Linked DNA regions of Macaca fascicularis. The protein of the gene in region 1 purifies or fractionates together with the protein of each later gene. This does not show direct contact. Links are inferred from orthologs where the notes say so. Each region holds a gene or a part of one and is shown in the gene's direction. Other genes may lie near its edges.

Region 1 (2,828 bases):
CACCTGATGCCCAAGGTCTGCCCCCACAACCCCCCGATCCTGGCCTTCCCTTCCCCACCATGGACTCCCAGGCCATGCCCTCCCAGGGCCCTTACCCACACCACCCCCTGACCCCTGACCCCTCTCCCTGGGTCTTGGAGGGAGGCGCCCTGTGACCCCCCCAGCCCAGCGCCCCTACTCCCCAGGTGCTGGGGCTGCACACACACAGCGAAGAGGGCCTCAGCCCACAGCCCACCTGGCGCCTCCTGGCTATGTTGGCCGGGCTCTACGCCTTCTTCCTGTTTGAGAACCTCTTCAACCTCCTGCTGCCCAGGGACCCGGAGGTCAGGCTTCATGGGAAGGTACCCGGCGGGTGGGTGTGCTGGGGGCCTGGTGGACACTGAGCAGCTACCCTCACAGGATCTGGAGGACGGGCCCTGCGGCCACAGCAGCCACAGCCACGGCGGCCACAGCCACGGTGTGTCCCTGCAGCTGGCACCCAGCGAACTCCGGCAGCCCAAGCCGCCCCACGAGGGCTCCCGCGCGGACCTGGTGAGTGGACGCCCGATGCCCCACCCCACGCGGAGCCCCTCCCACAGACCCCTTCCCAAGCCCACACTCCTAGCCCCACCCCAGGCCTGCGGCCCCGCCTCCCGCGGTGATCTGGGGCCCCGCCCCGCCGCGTTCCTCCTCTATCTCTGGGCGGGACTTACTCAAGGCTCCTCCCAGGTGGCGGAGGAGAGCCCGGAGCTGCTGAACCCGGAGCCCAGGAGACTGAGCCGAGGTGAGCCCAGGGGGCGACCCCGGAAGGGCTGGGGAATCTGAGGTTTGTGTGGAGCGCGAGCGGGGCCCGGGGCTTGGCGGTCGGGGACAGGCCACGCGAACCCACGGCCGCTGCATCCGCAGAGTTGAGGTTACTGCCTTATGTGATCACGCTGGGCGACGCCGTGCACAACTTCGCCGATGGGCTGGCCGTGGGCGCCGCCTTCGCGTCCTCCTGGAAGACCGGGCTGGCCACCTCGCTGGCGGTGTTCTGCCACGAGTTGCCGCACGAGCTGGGTGAGCGGCGGGCGGGGCCTGGAAGGAGACGGCCGGGGCCGCACGGGGCTGGGCGGGGAGACCGGGAACAGGTGGGCGGGGCCTGGTGGTAAGAGCGCGCGACCGAAAGGAGGTGGGCGGGGCATGTAAATAGGAGGGCGGAGCTGTTGACGTGGACCCGCCCGCAGGGGACTTCGCGGCCTTGCTGCAGGCGGGGCTTTCCGTGCGCCAAGCGCTGGTGCTGAACCTGGCCTCTGCGCTCACGGCCTTCGCGGGTCTCTACGTGGCACTCGCGGTTGGAGTCGGCGAGGAGAGCGAGGTCTGGATCCTGGCAGTGGCCACCGGCCTGTTCCTCTACGTGGCACTCTGCGACATGGTCAGGATGGTGAGGGGAGGGGCTGCTCTGGGCCGGGAACTGAGCAGCGGAGCTGAGCAGGGGCGCTGACCTGGTACCCACTTGCTCCTCAGCTCCCGGCCATCTTGAAAGTACGGGACCCACGGCCCTGGCTCCTCTTTCTGCTGCACAACGTGGGCCTGCTGGGCGGCTGGACCGTCCTGCTGCTGCTGTCCTTGTACGAGGATGATATCACCCTCTGATACCCTGCCCTAGTCTCCCACCTTTGACCCAAGATCCCACACCCCACAAACCTACAGCCCAGAAACCAGAAGCCCCTATAGAGGCCCCAGTCCTAACTCCAATAAAGACACTCTTGTCCTTGCAGCATGGCTGTGCTCTCCTTGTTGGGTGGGAAAGGTCCTCAGCTGAGAAAGGACAATTGCGGCACTGCCTTCTCCCCATCGGGGTGCCTCGAAGAGAAGCAGGAAGAGCTGCACTCAGGGCCCCCCAGGCAGCCAGCCTCAGGCACCCCCTCTTTGATGTGGAGACCCTGCCTGCCTGAGGAGTGGGGTCAGGGAAATTCGCCGGGGTGTGTGGGCAGCAGGTGGGACCCTGTCCCCAAACAGTAATCAAACTTGCTTACCCATAACTGCTTACACAGCTGAAGGCATATTTTTCTGTCATGGAAAGCAAGCCTGGAGATAATCAGACCAGAGTGTGGCAGCCCATGGTTCCTGGGACCCCAGCCTCTTCTGACTCTGAGGCGTTAATCCTGAGTCCCTATGTAGTGGCCTCCTAGGGCTCCCATAACACAGCCTACCACAAACTGAGTGCCTTCAAACCAGAAACTTATTTTCACAGTTCTGGAGGCTAAAAGTTAGGAATCAAAGCATCAGGAGACTAATGCTCCCTCTGAAGTCTCCAGGAAGCAGTCTGTTCCCCAAGCCTTTCCTGGCTACTGGTGGCCCCAGGTGTTCCTTGGTTTGTGGGCAGTATGACTCCAATCTCTGCCTCTGTCTTTGTGGGGAAAAGAAAGAGATCAGCCTGTTACTGTGTCTATATAGAAAGAAGTAGACATAAGAGACTCCATTTTGTTCTGTATTTGTGATGCTGTTAATCTGTGACCCTACCCCCAACCTTGTCCTTTGCAAGAGACATGTGGTGCGGTGACTCAAGGTTTAATGGATTTTGGGCTGTGCAGGATGTGTCTTTGTTAAACAAATGCCTGAAGGTAGCTTGCTGGTTAAAAGTTATCACCATTCTCTTAATTTCAACCACCCAGAGACACGTACACAGGGACCTGTGCCTAGGAAAGCTAGGTATTGTCTAAGGTTTCTCCCCATGTGATAGGCTGAAACAATGCTGCTAAAAGGTTTATGGAGATGTTTGCATATGCATCTCAAGGCACAGCATTTTCCTTTGAACTTATTCATGTCACAGAGGTGTTTGTTCATATGTCTTACTGCCCATTTCC
Region 2 (4,977 bases), on another chromosome or scaffold:
TCACTGCAACCTCCACCCCCCAGGTTCAAGCAATTCTCCTGCCTCAGCCTCCTGCGTAGCTGGGATTACAGGCGCACTCCACCACACCTGGCTAATTTTTGTATTTTTAGTAGAGACTGGGTTTCACCACGTTGGTCAGGCTGGTCTTGAACTCCTGACCTCGTGATCCGCCTGCCTTGGCTTCCCAAAATGTTGGGATTATAGGTGTGAGCCACTGTGTCCGGCTGCTACCTCCTTTTTGAGCCCAACTAAAGAAACATCAAGGATTGATACTCTCCAGTTGAAGAGAAAGTGACAACTTTAACCCAAATCTAATCTTCCTCTTACTTTCTCTTTCCCATTTTCCAGCTGCCAAACTAATGGCAGCTGCTGCAGTTTTTGTAAATAGTTTTCAGGGTTGGGATTAGAGCGAGAGAAGAGAGGCAGGATTGTGAAAGGTCAGGAGTGGATACTCAATTAAAATTTTTGATATTTTGTTCATTATGGATTTTTAAAATTAATTTTGAGTTTTAAAAATATTGCACGAAAATATTTATGCTGATTATTGAGGTTTTTTTGTTTTGTGAACCCATAAAATTTGCAATTGACAGTACCCTGTCCAGGTCCAGTAAAAATACCTAGGAGTCTACAAAAATCTACCCACGACTTACTGTGCCCCAGGTATATATCCCCCACCATGAAGTCTCCATAAAGTGTCCCAGTGAGTTTTAATGTTCTCTCCTCTCTTTCCATGCACGTGTATTAAAATGCATTGCCTTCTGATTGGTGTTTTCCACTTCGAACAGCGGAAATGCCTCGACCACGTCTGTTTTCAAATTTCTGCTCTAGTTAAGAAACGATCTCTGGCCCGGAGCGGTGGCTCACGCCTGTAATCCCAGCACTTTGGGAGGCCGAGGCGGGCGGATCACCTGAAGTCAGGAGTTGGAGACGAGCCTGACCAACATGCCGTCTCTACTAAAAATACAACATCAGCCGGGGGTGGTGGCGCATGCCTGTAATCTCAGCCACTTGGGAGGCTGAGGCGGGAGAATCACTTCAACCTGGGAGGCGGAGGTTGCAGTGAGCCGAGATCGCGCCACTGCACTCCAGCCTAAGACACAGAGCAAGACTCCGTCTCAAGAAAAAAAAGAAAAGAAAAGAAAAGAAACGATCTCCTCCCTTCTGAAAGTTATATACATTTCACTATTCGCCAACCACCTCCTCCACGCCGTCCAGAGCTGAGCTGACACGCAGCGAAGTCCTCTCAGTGGTCCCTCCGCACCTCAGCCCTGTGCTTGGCAGCGAGACTGGTGACAGGGCCGCCCCAGCATGGGTCTCCCGGGCCGCGGACCCGCCCCACGCCGTGTCCAGCGCGCTGTCCTCCCGCCCCATCCTTGTGCCGGGCATCGTGTAGTCGCGTCTGCGCGCTCCGCCGGTCTGCCGGCGTGAGAAAGAGCTCGTGCGGCTCCCGAGTTCAGACCAGAGGGGACGGCGAAGCGCGAAAAAAATTCCCTGCGGCCAGTACGCAGGCGCAGCCGTGCTCCTGGGCTTCCCGGGCCTCGTCCCAGTCGGCGCGCCCGGCGCTACTCCGCCAGCGGACAGTTGGGGGCGCTGCAGGGAGGGCACCCGAGCGGGTTGGGGGCGCTTGGAAGGGTGGCTTGCATGGTCCGGGTAGCTGCAGTCCTCGGGGTGGGGCGGAGGGGCGCAGCACCGCGCGGACGAGGATGGGGCGGGGGCGGGCGCAGCCCAGGGATGCAGGCACGATAAGGCGAGTGACAGCCAGCAGGGAGGGGCGGGCGCCACTGCGTCCACGCCCTTTGCTCGGGGCCGGTCCGGGAGGGTCCTCGGCCTCTGCGCGCGCCTGGCCCGCGGGCTGAGGCGTACGGGTCGCACGCAGCGCCATGCGCGGCCCCCCTGCTTGGCCGCTGCGGCTGCTCGCGCCCCCGGGCCCAGCCGAGCCAGGTCGGCTCCTGCCGGTAGCCTGCGTGTGGGCCCCGGCCATCCGCTCCCCTGGATCCCTATCGCCGTTCACTGGCCTGAGGCCCACACGGCTATGGGGCGCGGGGCCGGCGCTGCTCGGGGGCGTTGGAGCCGCGCGCCGCTGGAGGAGCGGCTGCCGGAACGGGGGTCCGGGCTACTCGGGGGGCGGCCTGGGCCTCGCGCGGCTCATGGGGCTGTGGGCTCGGGCCCCTGGCAGCTGCACGTGCGGGGCTTTTGCTGGGCTGGGCGCTCCTCGGCTCCCGCGCGCCGGGTTCCCGGGCGGTCCGGCAGCCGCTGCCTGGGCAGGGGACGAGGCCTGGCGGCGCGGGCAAGCGGCGCCTCCTGGGGACAACGGGCGGCTGCGCCCCCGGTCACCCGAACTCCCGGAAGCCCGGAAGCTCCTGGGGCTGGCGTACCCTGAGCGCCGGAGGCTGGCAGGTAGGGCCCTCCCCGACCACTTCCCTCCTCCGGGCCGCTCCTTCTCCACGCGCGGGATCCCGGGGCGCCGAGAGGGACACGGCCGGGCCGCAGAGCGCCTGTCACCGCCGCCTCTCCTGGGCCACTCCTAACCCCGGAGGAGGGAGGGGATGGCTCTCCTCGGAGTAGCGTTGTCAAGATTTCGCCTTAGCTGGGGACTCGTTGGCAGATTTTACACTTTTTTTCTTGTTGACACACATTGTATATGTCCTTATTGGAATCTTTGGGTCTGTTCCGTCACCAACTTAGTGGGAGCATCTGTTTTGGCTTAGGCAGCAAAATGAGCTGGAGGTTTTTCCTTGGAAAAAAAATAAATTGTAGCCAAAAATATGCCTATTTTGTTATTAGGCATTTATACTTTTTTTTTAACCAAAAAAAAAAAAATTGTTTGCTTTAAGCGAGTCTGTCAAGCAGTCACCAATGCTTTCACAACGGAAAGCAGAACTTTCACACTCGTCTCGTGCTAAGTGGGAAGCAGGAAGTTATAGCACTGTTCATCAGTCCACACCAACCAGTTATCTGTTCAGTAATTGAGTAACTTTTTTTAAAGAAGCCAAAATGAATGCTTTTAGAAACAAAATTTAAATAGTACAGTTTTCTATAGCTCCTCATTTTTTAACCATTAATTGGAGGAGTGTTTAGATGCAAGGGCCTTGTAAGATCTAAACTTTTTGATTTCTCTAAATTTTCATTCCTTCTATAAACATTTGTTGAGCCCTCATTCTGAACTGGGCCCTGGGGTTACAGTGGCATGCACAAGGAAACATGGTTCCCGCTTCTGCCGGGACTTCTGGCTTAGTGGGGAGAAGCATCTCTGAACTATTCATATGTGTAGAGGTCAGCCTGCACCTGTGGGCTGTGGAAAGGGGCCTGTGAGGTTGTCAGGTGCAACACCAGAAAAGCATTCTTTGCTGCAAATCCATTGCTTTAGAAAGGACCCTCCTGAGTAGTGATTTGGGATTTAGAGTAGGTTTGCACAGTGGAAGAGAGCAGTTAGGGTGGCGACTTTTCATCTGCCAGTTACTATGAAAGCTTAGGGGGACTCTTGGTATCGCTCGGGTATAAAGAGAATTATTTCATTGTTCAGTTGGTTGAGTGTAGATTTTGATGTAAAAATCTTTCTTTTTCTCTCTTTAAAAACATTGGAGACTAGGAGCTCTCACTGGACTTTGAGCTGCTTGAGACAGGGACTGTCTGATTCATCTTTCTGCCTCCAGTTCTTAGCATGTGCACAGCACAGAGCAAGCACTCAGAGTGCCTTCAGTGAAGGAATAAATGACCATACCACCAGGCACAGAGTGAGGCCTTTAGAAACCCTAAGCATCATAGGGTGCACCCACCACTTCTGTATGTGACTCAAAGTAAGTGTAAGGGAATCCAGTTCTGTTTTGTTTGTGAAATACTAGATGTCAGGAATGGTGTTTAGATGTCAGGCTTTGGTGGTGCCTACACGTGCCCAGTCCTGCTTATCCTATGACCATTGCTCCTGTGAGCCCCTACTCTGTCCCCCGATATCCTGCCATACTAGTATGTTTTGGTGACAGCCTTAAACAAGGCAAGACTGTGCCTCCTTTTTTCTTTCTTCCTTTTGTTTTTCTGGGATAGGGGTCTCACTGTGTTGCTGAGACTTGTGTCGAACTCCTCAGCTCAAGCAGCCCTGCCTCTACCTCCTGAGTAGTTGGGACTACAGGCATGTGCCACTACACCCGGCTTGTACCTTTTTTTTTTTTTTTTTTTGAGCTGGAGTTTTGCTCTTGTTGCCCAGGCTGGAGTGCCATGGCATGATCTCGTCTGACCGCAACCTCCGCCTCCCAGGTTCAAGCAATTCTCCTGCCTCAGCCTCCCAAGTAGCTGGGATTACAGGCATATGCCACCATACCCGGCTAATTTTGTATGTTTAGAGACAGAGTTTCTCCGTGTTGGTCAGGGTGGTCTCAAACTCCCGACCTCAGGTGATCTGCCCACCTTGGCCTCCCAAAGGTGCTGGGATTACAGGTGTGAGCCACCACACCCAGCCTTCTTTCTATTTTAAGAACAGGATATATTTTGTTCCACCACATTGAGAAATTATGAATGTATAATTTGAAAAAAACAAGCCTAGGGTTGCCACACTAATTTTTTTTTTTTTTTTTTTTTTTTTTTGAGTGTTTTTGAGACGGAGTCTCACTCTGTTGCCCAGGCTGGAGTGCAGTGGTCAGATCTCAGCTCACTGCAAGCTCCGCCTCCCGGGTTTACGCCATTCTCCTGCCTCAGCCTCCCGAGTAGCTGGGACTACAGGCACCTGCCACCTCGCCCGGTTAATTTTTTGTATTTTTTAGTAGAGACAGGGTTTCACTGTGTTAGCCAGGATGCTCTCGATCTCCTGACCTCGTGATCCGCCCGTCTCGGCCTCCCAAAGTGCTGGGATTACAGGCTTGAACCACCGCGCCCGGCCTTTTTTTTTTTGCTTTCAAACAGATAAATACATATTGTATATTATGAGGATATCTGATAAAAAGCCCTTATTTAGATGTATGATTTCCTGAGAAATCATATATTAAA
Region 3 (4,923 bases), on another chromosome or scaffold:
TGGGTTCTACACCAGAGGGAAGACAACAGAGTTCTGGGGGAGGGGCTGTGGGCCACTTGACCCTAGATGTGTGGAACGGCAGCAGTGTCCCCAAACATAAGGAAGCTGACAAAGCCCACACTGCGTGCCACCACTGGGGGTGGCTCCAGTTCAGTCCATATTTTTAAATCGCCCTGAGATCCATTGTGATAAAATAGACCATAACTCTGTGAAATGCTGTAACGATAACTTTGTTTAAGCATTAGTTTCAAGCCCTCTTAGAATACGTGGGGCCAGTACTGATGCCGAAAGGCTCATTCTTTATATATTGAACTGCACAGCTGCAAGGAGCTACACAAATGTTACCAACTCATTTGTCATGCAAACAGTGCTTCAGAAAGAAATAAAATACTATTATGTGGTATATGTGTTAGGCAATCACTATATCAAATTCACGGCATTCTGTGCAAACACAGACAGAGAAAAGGAAAACAACACTTGGTGAGAGAAATCACACCACATGGGAGCAGCTAAGTCAGGGGAGATGGGGAGGCCAACAGTGGAAGCTGACCAAGCTGAGGCTGTAATTTTCCCAGCAATTGTGGCCAGGGTTGAATACCCCCGAGGTGGAGCAAGTGGCAGGAATGCAAAACCCAGACAGAGGAGCATAGCATTGCCCAGCGTGTCAGGGAGGGGAGGGAATAAAGTGAGGAGTGGGTAAGGGGTCTGTTGGGACAGATATGGGGATTCCAGGGAGAAGGGGCCTGGGGGAAGGGGAGAATGGAATAGCAGGGGTAGAAATAGATGGAACCTATTGGGCCAGCAATAAATGTTTGGGAATGGGAGTTGAGGGATGTGGAAGGAAGATTATAAACTGGCTCTATTTTCAGTTGCCACATTCCCTTGCTTCCCTTAGGAGTTTCCTGCTAAGAGCCTTCATGTAACCAAATCACCTGCCCTGTGGGAGACTCTACACAGCACTGACACTGCAAAGATGTGGGTTAAGTATAAACACGCATGAGCGTGTGCCCCGCACTGTCCCAAGCACCTTAGCCAAACTACCTCTTCTAATCCTCACAGCAACTCTATTGAGGTTTACTGGCAAACAAGCTAAAAATGTTAATTGAATATGATCACACATCTAATAGTTGTGAGTAGGGATTTGAAACTGAACTGAATGGCTCCAAAGCCCACATCCTAAACCACCAGTGAGGCTACAGGACCGTGTATCTCTGGAGTCTTCTCCCACCCATGTCTCCTTGTAAAAATCCCATTACACAGACACAGGCCCTCCGCAGAGAAGCCTCAACTGCCCACTCGAGCCCAAGGGCATTTTGCTCCTCTGCCTCCACTATGGAAACTGCGTCCCCTCCAGGCTGGCGCTCCTTGGGGGCCAGTGTCTGTCCTAAGGCTGGGATCACACCTACTTGGTGCTCAGTGTCGCCCAGTTAACAAGCCCGAAGTCGGGACAGGGTCTTGGAGCATGCCTGGCGTGTACTATATGGCCCAAATAAAACCAGATCACACATCAGTCCCCAAGCCCAGATAGGCAAATGATCCTGTCTCTCCATTCGGGGCAGTGGCTTCGTTCACCATTAACCAATTCATCCATTAAATCAACACTGACTTTACTGAATGCTTACCACGTGCCAGAGGCAAAGCTAGGGTTGGAGGACTCAAAAGATTAATACTGTTTGATCTAACAAACAAAGGGAAGTGGGAGAGCGGAGAGAGAGGGAAAAACAAAACAAAAAATTTAATCCCCCTTGGACCTTCCCACCATGGCGGCTCTAAGAGCCACGTCAGACCTCCTCATCATGGCCGACCCATAGGCCGAGCGCAAACCTTCCCAACATGGCGACCGACCTTCCCATCATGGCGCGGGGCCCCGCCCGCTCCGCCGCGCCTGCGGGAGGGAGCAGTTCCGGGTGTGGTGCGCGCCGGGGGCGGGCGGGGGGCGGCGTCCTGGCCATGGCCGGCCTGTCGGACCTGGAACTGCGGCGGGAGCTGCAGGCCCTGGGCTTCCAGCCAGGACCCATCACCGACACCACCCGGGATGTCTACCGCAACAAGCTGCGCCGCCTGCGGGGCGAGGCCCGGCTGCGCGACGAGGAGCGGCTGCGGGAGGAGGCCCGGCCGCGGGAGGAGGCCCAGCCGCGGGGCGAGGAGCGGTTACGGGAAGAGGCCCGGCTACGCGAGGATGCGCCGCTGCGCGCCCGGCCCGCCGCGGGCTCTCCGCGGGCGGAGCCCTGGCTCTCCCAGCCGGCCTCGGGCTCGGCCTACGCGACCCCTGGGGCCTACGGCGATATCCGACCCTCCGCGGCTTCCTGGGTAGGGAGCCGCGGCCTCGCCTATCCTGCCCGCCCGGCGCAGCTAAGGCGCCGCGCCTCGGTCCGGGGCAGCTCCGAGGAGGACGAGGACGCCCGGACGCCCGACAGGGCCACGCAGGGCCCGGGTCTCGCGGCCCGCCGCTGGTGGGCAGCGTCTCCCGCCCCGGCGCGGCTGCCTTCCGCCCTCCTCGGCCCCGACCCGCGCCCGGGCCTGCGGGCGACTCGAGCGGGCCCTGCTGGCGCGGCGCGGGCCCGGCCCGAGGTGGGGCGCCGGCTGGAGCGCTGGCTGTCTCGGCTCCTGCTCTGGGCCAGCCTGGGGCTACTGCTCGTCTTCCTGGGCATCCTCTGGGTGAAGATGGGCAAGCCCTCAGCGCCGCAGGAGGCGGAGGACAACAGTACGTCCTGGGCCGGCGCAGGGGAGGGCCCTGGGGGCGCGTGTGTCTGCCGGACGACCACCCGTTCCTGTCGGCGCCAGGCCGTGCACTTCCAGCCTTGTCGGCAGCCTCTGACTGTCTTCTCATTTCCAGGCCTGCCTTCTTCCAGCTGTTGGAAGAGAGGGCCAAGGCTCCTGCATCTGCAATAATTTCTGCCTTCACTTTCTCCTGTTCTCCTTTTCTGCCCCAGCCCTCCCTTCTAAAGTCGCCCTTTGAATCACAAGCTGTAGTCACTGCTCCCCCAACCTCTGGTTTTCTCCCTGGAGAGGAAGCCACACCCTTCTCTAACAGATTCACCCCATCCCTTTGGGTTCTTCCCGTTTGACCTCTGGCTTACTCACACACTTTGTGCCTGTTTGAAGGCACTCCAGATTTCACTGACCCACAGATAGGATCTGGTTGGGGGTCCCAGCTTTGCAGCACCAAAAAGTCCACTCTCCACTTCTTTGAACCACAGGGCCGCCGCTTTGTCAACAGGAGAATCTACCAGCCTTGCTTGCCAGACAGGTTAAACTGATAGCAACGGGAGGCATTTACGATTGCTTGTAGCACCCTCATGGAGTGTGTTGAGAGACTGTGACTCAAGGATGCTCACAGCCATCCTTCTGGCCACACTTAAGTTACATGGTTAGATATGCCAATGAGAGGTCTTCAGGGTACAGTATGTATCCGGAATAGCTGAGGATTGTGTGTTTCCTGAAAAGAAACAAAGATCATTTCACTATACATTTAGGTATAAAGGGCCACTGTAGTTCACCAACTTTTAATACTCTTTACAAAGCACAAATGTGAGTAATACTGTTCCCAGCTTCCAGCCAAGGCCACATCCTTCCATGCCTAGCAGGAACTTCCAACATACAGGAAAAAGCTAAAGTATGTCTTAGCTGGTGTGGCAGATGGATGTTTGGGAGTGTACAAGTCTGTGGGCAAGGGTATCAACAGACTTGTGTGCAGACACCCAAATGATTTCCCCACTATGAGAGCAGTTTATCAACTATGTGAATAGTTTGTCGACCTGCTAGAGAAATTAAGCAGACCTGGGAGTGTCATGGTACTATAACTACACTGGTGATGTCAAACAGTATCACACTGGTACTCACTGCTGAGATGTTTTAAGACAACAGTGCTAGAATATATGCTGGTATCTACCCGGACTTCCCCTCCCATTATGGTGTTAATCTCTGTTTAACGTATCATTGTTTTCAGTTTACAAAACTGTCCTGTATTTTGTTTTGTTTGGGCCTAACTTCCTGAGTTAAGCAGGGAAGGCCCATTTGATCCCATTTTACAGATGAGGAAACAGAGATTCAGAGTGGTTGAGTTGCCCAAGAACCTTGAGCTAATCATTTTCAGCTGGGACAAGGACCCAGCTATCTTAATTCCTAATCCAGGATTTGGATACCCTTACATTTTGCTGTCTGCATTTTAAAAGTGCCTTCCTTAGATGACATCTTTCTAATCACCACCCTTGGCTTGGTAATGCTTTACTCCCCCCGAATGTTGTGAATAGTCTCTTTGTATTCCTTTCTCAACCCACACTTAATTTCCTCTGTGTTTCTTTTCTTGGTCTCAGTGAAGTTATTGCCAGTGGACTGTGAGAGAAAAACAGATGAGGTGAGTTTGAGTTTCTCTGGCTTTTATTATTCCTCCTGAGGATATTAGCCTCCATCAGGAGGTAAACTTCCCCAGAACAAGAATAGGATCATTTTCAAGGAGTGCTTCCTGTAATGTACCAGAGTCACATTGTGTTCTGTGATGTTTGTGTCAGGCTCAATTGTGGCAGTGAAGGAATACTTGAAATAGAATTGACCTCCCAAAATCCAACCCTGGGCTTGTTATGGACGCTTTCCCATCAATGTAGTATTTTCTTCTGCCTGAGTCAATCTAGGGGGATGCAGTAGGTTGTTGAAGGACCCCTCAAGCTCCCTGGCACGGGGAGGAAGGGCTGGCATTTCTAAGCATCAGGAGGCCAAGTTCTCAATTCCACATTCTCTCTCTCTGGTGATGCAGCTGTGGCTCTGAAAATGCTGTTCTGATTTGAAACATAGGGAGTTTGTTTGGAACACATCTTAAGTAGAATTAGCCCTCTTAGTCCACATTTAGATTTGCTTTATGAAGCTCTAATATTTCCTACAAATAATATTTGGGGATGAGCAGCCCCATCCATTTATGAATCATGA
Region 4 (4,792 bases), on another chromosome or scaffold:
GTCATAAAGGCTCCACTCTTATAAATAAATTAATGCCAATTATAGAGGGCTTGAGGCTGCAAGTTCAATTTCACATGCACTCTCTTGCCCTTCTGCCTTCCACCCTAGGATGATGCAGCAAGAAGGCCCTTACAAGATGTCAGCACCTTGATATTAGACTCCCCAGCCTTCAGAACTATGAGAAATAAATTTCTTTTCTTTATAAATTACTCAGTCTGTGGAATTGTGTTATATCAACACAAAATGGACTAAGACATTAAGGAAAGGATGCTTAACAGGCAAACATGGATGCTTCCTTCAACCAACCACTGTAGCCCCTTGCACATTGTTTAATCAAAACCCATCCAGTTGAAGTTTTAGGGCCGGCAACTGATTAGGTTATTTATAAGGAATGTAAATTATGTATATAGACCTATATAAAACTGCATCTTAAAATTTTCAACTTTTGTCATAAAGAATCTAACGAAAAGGACTAATTCACCTTCAATTAAAATGCAGCTCATTCAGCTAGCTGCCTTAGCACCTAGACATATGGACCTGCTCCATAAAGTGTTTAAGAATCACTGAGTGAGTCACTGACTAATTAGTTGCTGATAAATGAGAGACTAAGGGAGACCCTCCTTAGAGGCAAATGATATAGAAGTTACGGTCCACCAGTCTAAGAATGCAAACTATACTAGGAGAGCTAAAATGGGCAAGAAAGGGAATTTCCTGTACCTGTCCCCAATTATGGTTATTTAAGCTCACTAGAAGATCAGAGCAAAGCGATGCAAGTCTGCAAAACCAGGGCTGACATCCGACATAGCTTCAGCTTCTGAATGCTTTGGTCTGACCCTGCAGATATAACAGCTGCAGATAACAAAAATATCATTTTGGAATATAGTAGAACATTCCTCTAAAGGGGTCACCTATTGTCAGTTTCTAATTCAGCTAAGAGGTTTTGGCTCATAAAGATGTTTCCTGCAGTTAAGAAGCTCCATGCTCAGGTGGCAGTAGGGTATCTTGATCACCTTTTTCAAGGTGACTCTTTTTCTGGTTAAAATCAATTTCAGCTGTGGGCATTCCTTTAGGTGTTCATGTATTTGTTTTTTTTATTGTCGGGATTTGGGAGAGGCGCAGAGGAAGGAGCTTCCTTTCCCAGACACCAGAGCTAAGAAGACATGAAGAGACATGACTCTAGGAAAACCGTTCTCAATCTTGGCCGTATACTGTATTAGGATTATCTGGGAAGCTCAAAACAAACAAAAAATATCAAGTTCAGTTTGAACTCTGGAAGTGGGACCCTGGTATCTAAATGCTCTAAAAGCTCCCCCAAATAATTCTAATGGATGGCAGGTGCTGCTAGAGTTAAGAACCATTGCTTTAGAATTTTCTAGCACGGTTTCCTTGTAGGTCATTAGTTTTGTGGCATTCTCTCCAGGAGGTACGGCCTCACAGGGCTTCTCAAACATCAGTGCGCCTGAGCGTCACCTGAGGCGCTGTTTTAAATGCAGCTGCCCAGGCTAGGAGATCACACCCGAAGGCGTCCGGGAATCTTCACTTTTTCGGTTGCTAGTAGTGGAAGGGTCACAGACCAAACGCTAAGGCCTGAGCGGTGACAACCGAAGCGAGATGATGGTCAACAGGGAATACCTAGTGGGAGAAAAAAGACAATTTTGTGAGTATAAACCCCCTAAAAACCTGTTTTTCGTTCGCTTCCTTCTCTGGGCAGTTTTCACCCAGACGACTTTATAAAGAAGGTAACGTGAGTGTGGCGCTGGGTGTGGTTGGCTGTTCGGGAACATTCCCTTGGGGTGGAACGTGGGATGGGGTTCCCCCCAGGTACCCTTTCCCCACCGCCGCTTCCCCGCTCCGCGCCGCTGCTCAGGAGCCGTCTCCCGCGTCGGAAGGGGCGCTGGGGTGGTCCAGGGGAGGGGCGCACGCTGGCGTTCCTGCTCCTGCCGAGTGGGGGCCGCTGGCCGGGGCGCGCGCACCGTGGAGGCGGGAGTCCGCGCGGCCCCGGCAGCCCCGGCCTCGCCTCTCCGCGCTCGCGGCGCCGCCTCCTCCCTTCGAGCCGCCGGCGCTGCCCGGGGGCGGGGCCTCGCAGCTGCGGAGGCCGGGGACGCGGCGGCGCTGGACGCTGAGGCGCGGGGCGCACCGCGCGGAGCCGGCCGGAGCGCGAGGCCGGCAGCGGCGGGAGAGCGGCCCGGGTGGCCTCGTAGCGGAGCCCCGCATCGCCGAGTGGCGGCCGGAGCCGCGGAAAAGGTGAGTGGGCGGCGCGCAGCCCCAGGCCTCCCGAACCGGGGTCCCTCGCTTCCTCCCTCCTTTGCCCCGGCCCCGTGCCCCGCGCCCCGAGACCTCGCGTTGGTCCCCGGACCCTCGCTGCCGCTTGCGCCGGGGCTCCAGCCTTCGCTGGCTGCTCTCGGGGCTGGCGCCGCACCTTCCTGCACCGAGCAGCCCGTGGCCGCCCGGGCCCCTCGGCTCGCTCCCCAAGGCCGGGCGCGCGGCCCCCTGGCCCTGCGATGAGGGGCCTCGCGAGGATTCCCTGCCCTGCAGTCTCAGGCGATGCGGGGCCTTTCTTTTTGTTCTGAGCTTTGTCACGCGCGTCGGCATCCAAAGTCAAAAGCGTGCACCCCCAAAGTCGTACTAGTTCCAGTTCTGCGGCGTGATTTGCACGAGGCGCGGAGAGCTGGCCGAGCCGCGAGCCTCTCGGCTCCCGCCTCCTCTTCCTCCCCTCCAACCCCAGGCGCGCTTCGGCCGCCCTGGGGTCCATGTTGTCGCGGGGCCTCCTGGCTAGTGACCCCGGAGCTTGGCGCCGGGTCTTCCCGCCGCGCGGCCGGAGCGCGGCTGCAGCCGGTTCTCGCGGATGCTCGAGGTTTTCCCGCATACCTGTGTTTCCACCTTTGCCAGCGTGGAGGATCCACACAACTTTGCCGTGCTTTAAAGATCATATCCTGTTCAATATTTTTAATGACTTGCTTTTAAGAAGCAAAATGTGAATAACAATTTTGATGAATTTTTTAAGCAAAATTTAAGAATTATTATATTTGAAATATCGTGATGATGCTGGACAATTTCAGATGTCCCATAGCCAGATGTGCAAAACTAAACTTGTGTGACTTTCACGGTTTTGAGGTTTCCTTTGTCTGATTTGGGGTCCCTAGGCCCTACCTTATGCAAATTATTGAACATTTCTAGGACTGGATTAGTGAGATATGCAGTAACCTGATGAAGTGTTTAGCGGCGCTTGAGTGGCTTTGTTTAGCTCATGGCCATCAGGTTGGCTCAAATCTCAGTTTTAGTATTTCTGAATTTTGGTGGGCATGGGACAATCTCTTGTTAGTTTTTGTGGGTCTCCAAAGGCATCCTAGCTTCTTCCAGTTGTGCTATAAAAGATGAAGCTACGCTCATGCTATTGGAAAGAATACTTTTACTTTCTTTATAAATAGAAACTAGTAACTCGCTAAGACTTACTGTTTTTAGGCCACTCAATTCTTAAGGTGTCAGTGAACAAAAAGAAATTGAATTATTAGGATGTTTAAAGGAAAGAGGTTAGCTTTTAAGATATATTTTGTTCTCCTATGGAGAGGTTATCCAATTTTCACATTTTTTTTTTAAGTTGGTTTTACAGGAAAATGAAAGAAATGAGAGGAAAGGAGTGCTGAGGGTGGGGCCAGGAAATTGTGGTGACTTGGATATTAGGGGCCAAGGATACCATCTGCTTCCTAATTGCTGGTTTAGGTTCAGTTATTGATGGGAAATGAAAAGATTTTGCATTTACATTCCACCCGCTGCTGCTGTTGTTGAGGCCTGGGCAGAAACAACAGTTAGGACAGCAGACCATAGCAGGCCTGGGGCTACCTGGGTTTGTATATATGGCCACCCTCCCCAGAAGGAGGGAACTGCTACCCTTCTCCTGTGAAAGTGCTAGCTGGCTTTCTGCGTTGGAAGTACAGAGGGCAGAACCTGGGGAAAATGCATCTGTGTGAGCAGTAGGAAGGGTGGAGCATCACTTTAGGCAGGTGTGCTGAGAGGAGACAGATGTCAGTTGATGGGTACTGTTGCTGCAAGGGAACTTGAAGGCAGCGTGGTCCCTGAGGTCCAGCCCCATTTCTCAAAGGACCTGGGGTGGCCACTGGGGGCGGGAGAGCGGTGTTCCCTGCCTCTGGTTTAAATTCTGCAGCATTATTATTACTTGTTTTTTCTTAAAAGAAAAAAAAAATAAGTTGCCCAGTGAAAAAAGATACATTTCTTTTTCAATGGTCTAATGTGAGAAACAACATTCGTAATTGGGATTTTTTAAAAGCACTTCTGTTTTTGTAAAACAATTTTTAAAACATTTGTAAAAAAGTAGAAGGAACAGAAGGAATGGTCCTACTATGCTTTTGCTCTCACCTTAGAAAAGGGCGAATGATACTTCACTTCCTCCCCAAAAACTGTTCTTAAAGATCGTGGTGTTTTTCTGGACTTTTCAAGTTGTTGATGAAGAGATGTTAAAAGAGAGACTTGTCTCCAAACTTATGAAGTGTTTCTTAAATCTCGAGAGAGTCATTCCTTTCTTTCACACAGGTATTTCTCACACTTTCAGGGAAAAAAAAAAAAAAAAGTCCATGCCTTTTCAGATTTTTACATTTTGATCTTATTTTCCTTTAAAACCCTTAAGCGCTTTATTAATAGGACTTCCCCTTGCTAAGATTTTGAAGATTCGTGTCTGACAGAAAAAAGTACATATATGAATACTATATAATATGATTATAGTTGTTTATATTGTAATTTGCTATCGTTTCCCAACTTTTTTGATGTTTCTCAGTAA

What was found.
Region 2: the proteins of SLC39A4 (region 1) and ABCB10 purify together in Homo sapiens (affinity purification with mass spectrometry; 3 studies listed by BioGRID and IntAct, counting the BioPlex papers as one, with this or other methods). This does not show direct contact. The link is inferred for Macaca fascicularis from reciprocal best matches to the Homo sapiens genes SLC39A4 and ABCB10.
Region 3: the proteins of SLC39A4 (region 1) and LEMD2 purify together in Homo sapiens (affinity purification with mass spectrometry; 3 studies listed by BioGRID and IntAct, counting the BioPlex papers as one, with this or other methods). This does not show direct contact. The link is inferred for Macaca fascicularis from reciprocal best matches to the Homo sapiens genes SLC39A4 and LEMD2.
Region 4: the proteins of SLC39A4 (region 1) and GOLM1 purify together in Homo sapiens (affinity purification with mass spectrometry; 3 studies listed by BioGRID and IntAct, counting the BioPlex papers as one, with this or other methods). This does not show direct contact. The link is inferred for Macaca fascicularis from reciprocal best matches to the Homo sapiens genes SLC39A4 and GOLM1.

What each region holds. Positions count from the first base shown.
Region 1 is NC_088382.1:154,107,712-154,110,539, reverse strand, and holds the end of SLC39A4 (zinc transporter ZIP4), read left to right. Parts: coding exon 1-15; intron 16-185; coding exon 186-323; exon of another isoform or gene 324-399; coding exon 400-531; exon of another isoform or gene 532-650; intron 651-708; coding exon 709-763; intron 764-885; coding exon 886-1,038; intron 1,039-1,205; coding exon 1,206-1,393; intron 1,394-1,485; coding exon 1,486-1,614; 3' UTR 1,615-1,738; downstream 1,739-2,828. UniProt on the Homo sapiens protein: Selective transporter that mediates the uptake of Zn(2+). Plays an essential role for dietary zinc uptake from small intestine. The Zn(2+) uniporter activity is regulated by zinc availability.
Region 2 is NC_088375.1:19,544,588-19,549,564, forward strand, and holds the start of ABCB10 (ATP-binding cassette sub-family B member 10, mitochondrial), read left to right. Parts: upstream 1-1,607; 5' UTR 1,608-1,880; coding exon 1,881-2,397; intron 2,398-4,977.
Region 3 is NC_088378.1:137,903,396-137,908,318, forward strand, and holds the start of LEMD2 (LEM domain-containing protein 2), read left to right. Parts: upstream 1-1,927; 5' UTR 1,928-1,950; coding exon 1,951-2,704; exon of another isoform or gene 2,705-4,219; intron 4,220-4,316; coding exon 4,317-4,357; intron 4,358-4,923. UniProt on the Homo sapiens protein: Nuclear lamina-associated inner nuclear membrane protein that is involved in nuclear structure organization, maintenance of nuclear envelope (NE) integrity and NE reformation after mitosis.
Region 4 is NC_088389.1:116,600,514-116,605,305, reverse strand, and holds the start of GOLM1 (Golgi membrane protein 1), read left to right. Parts: upstream 1-1,512; 5' UTR 1,513-1,657; intron 1,658-2,082; exon of another isoform or gene 2,083-2,244; intron 2,245-4,792.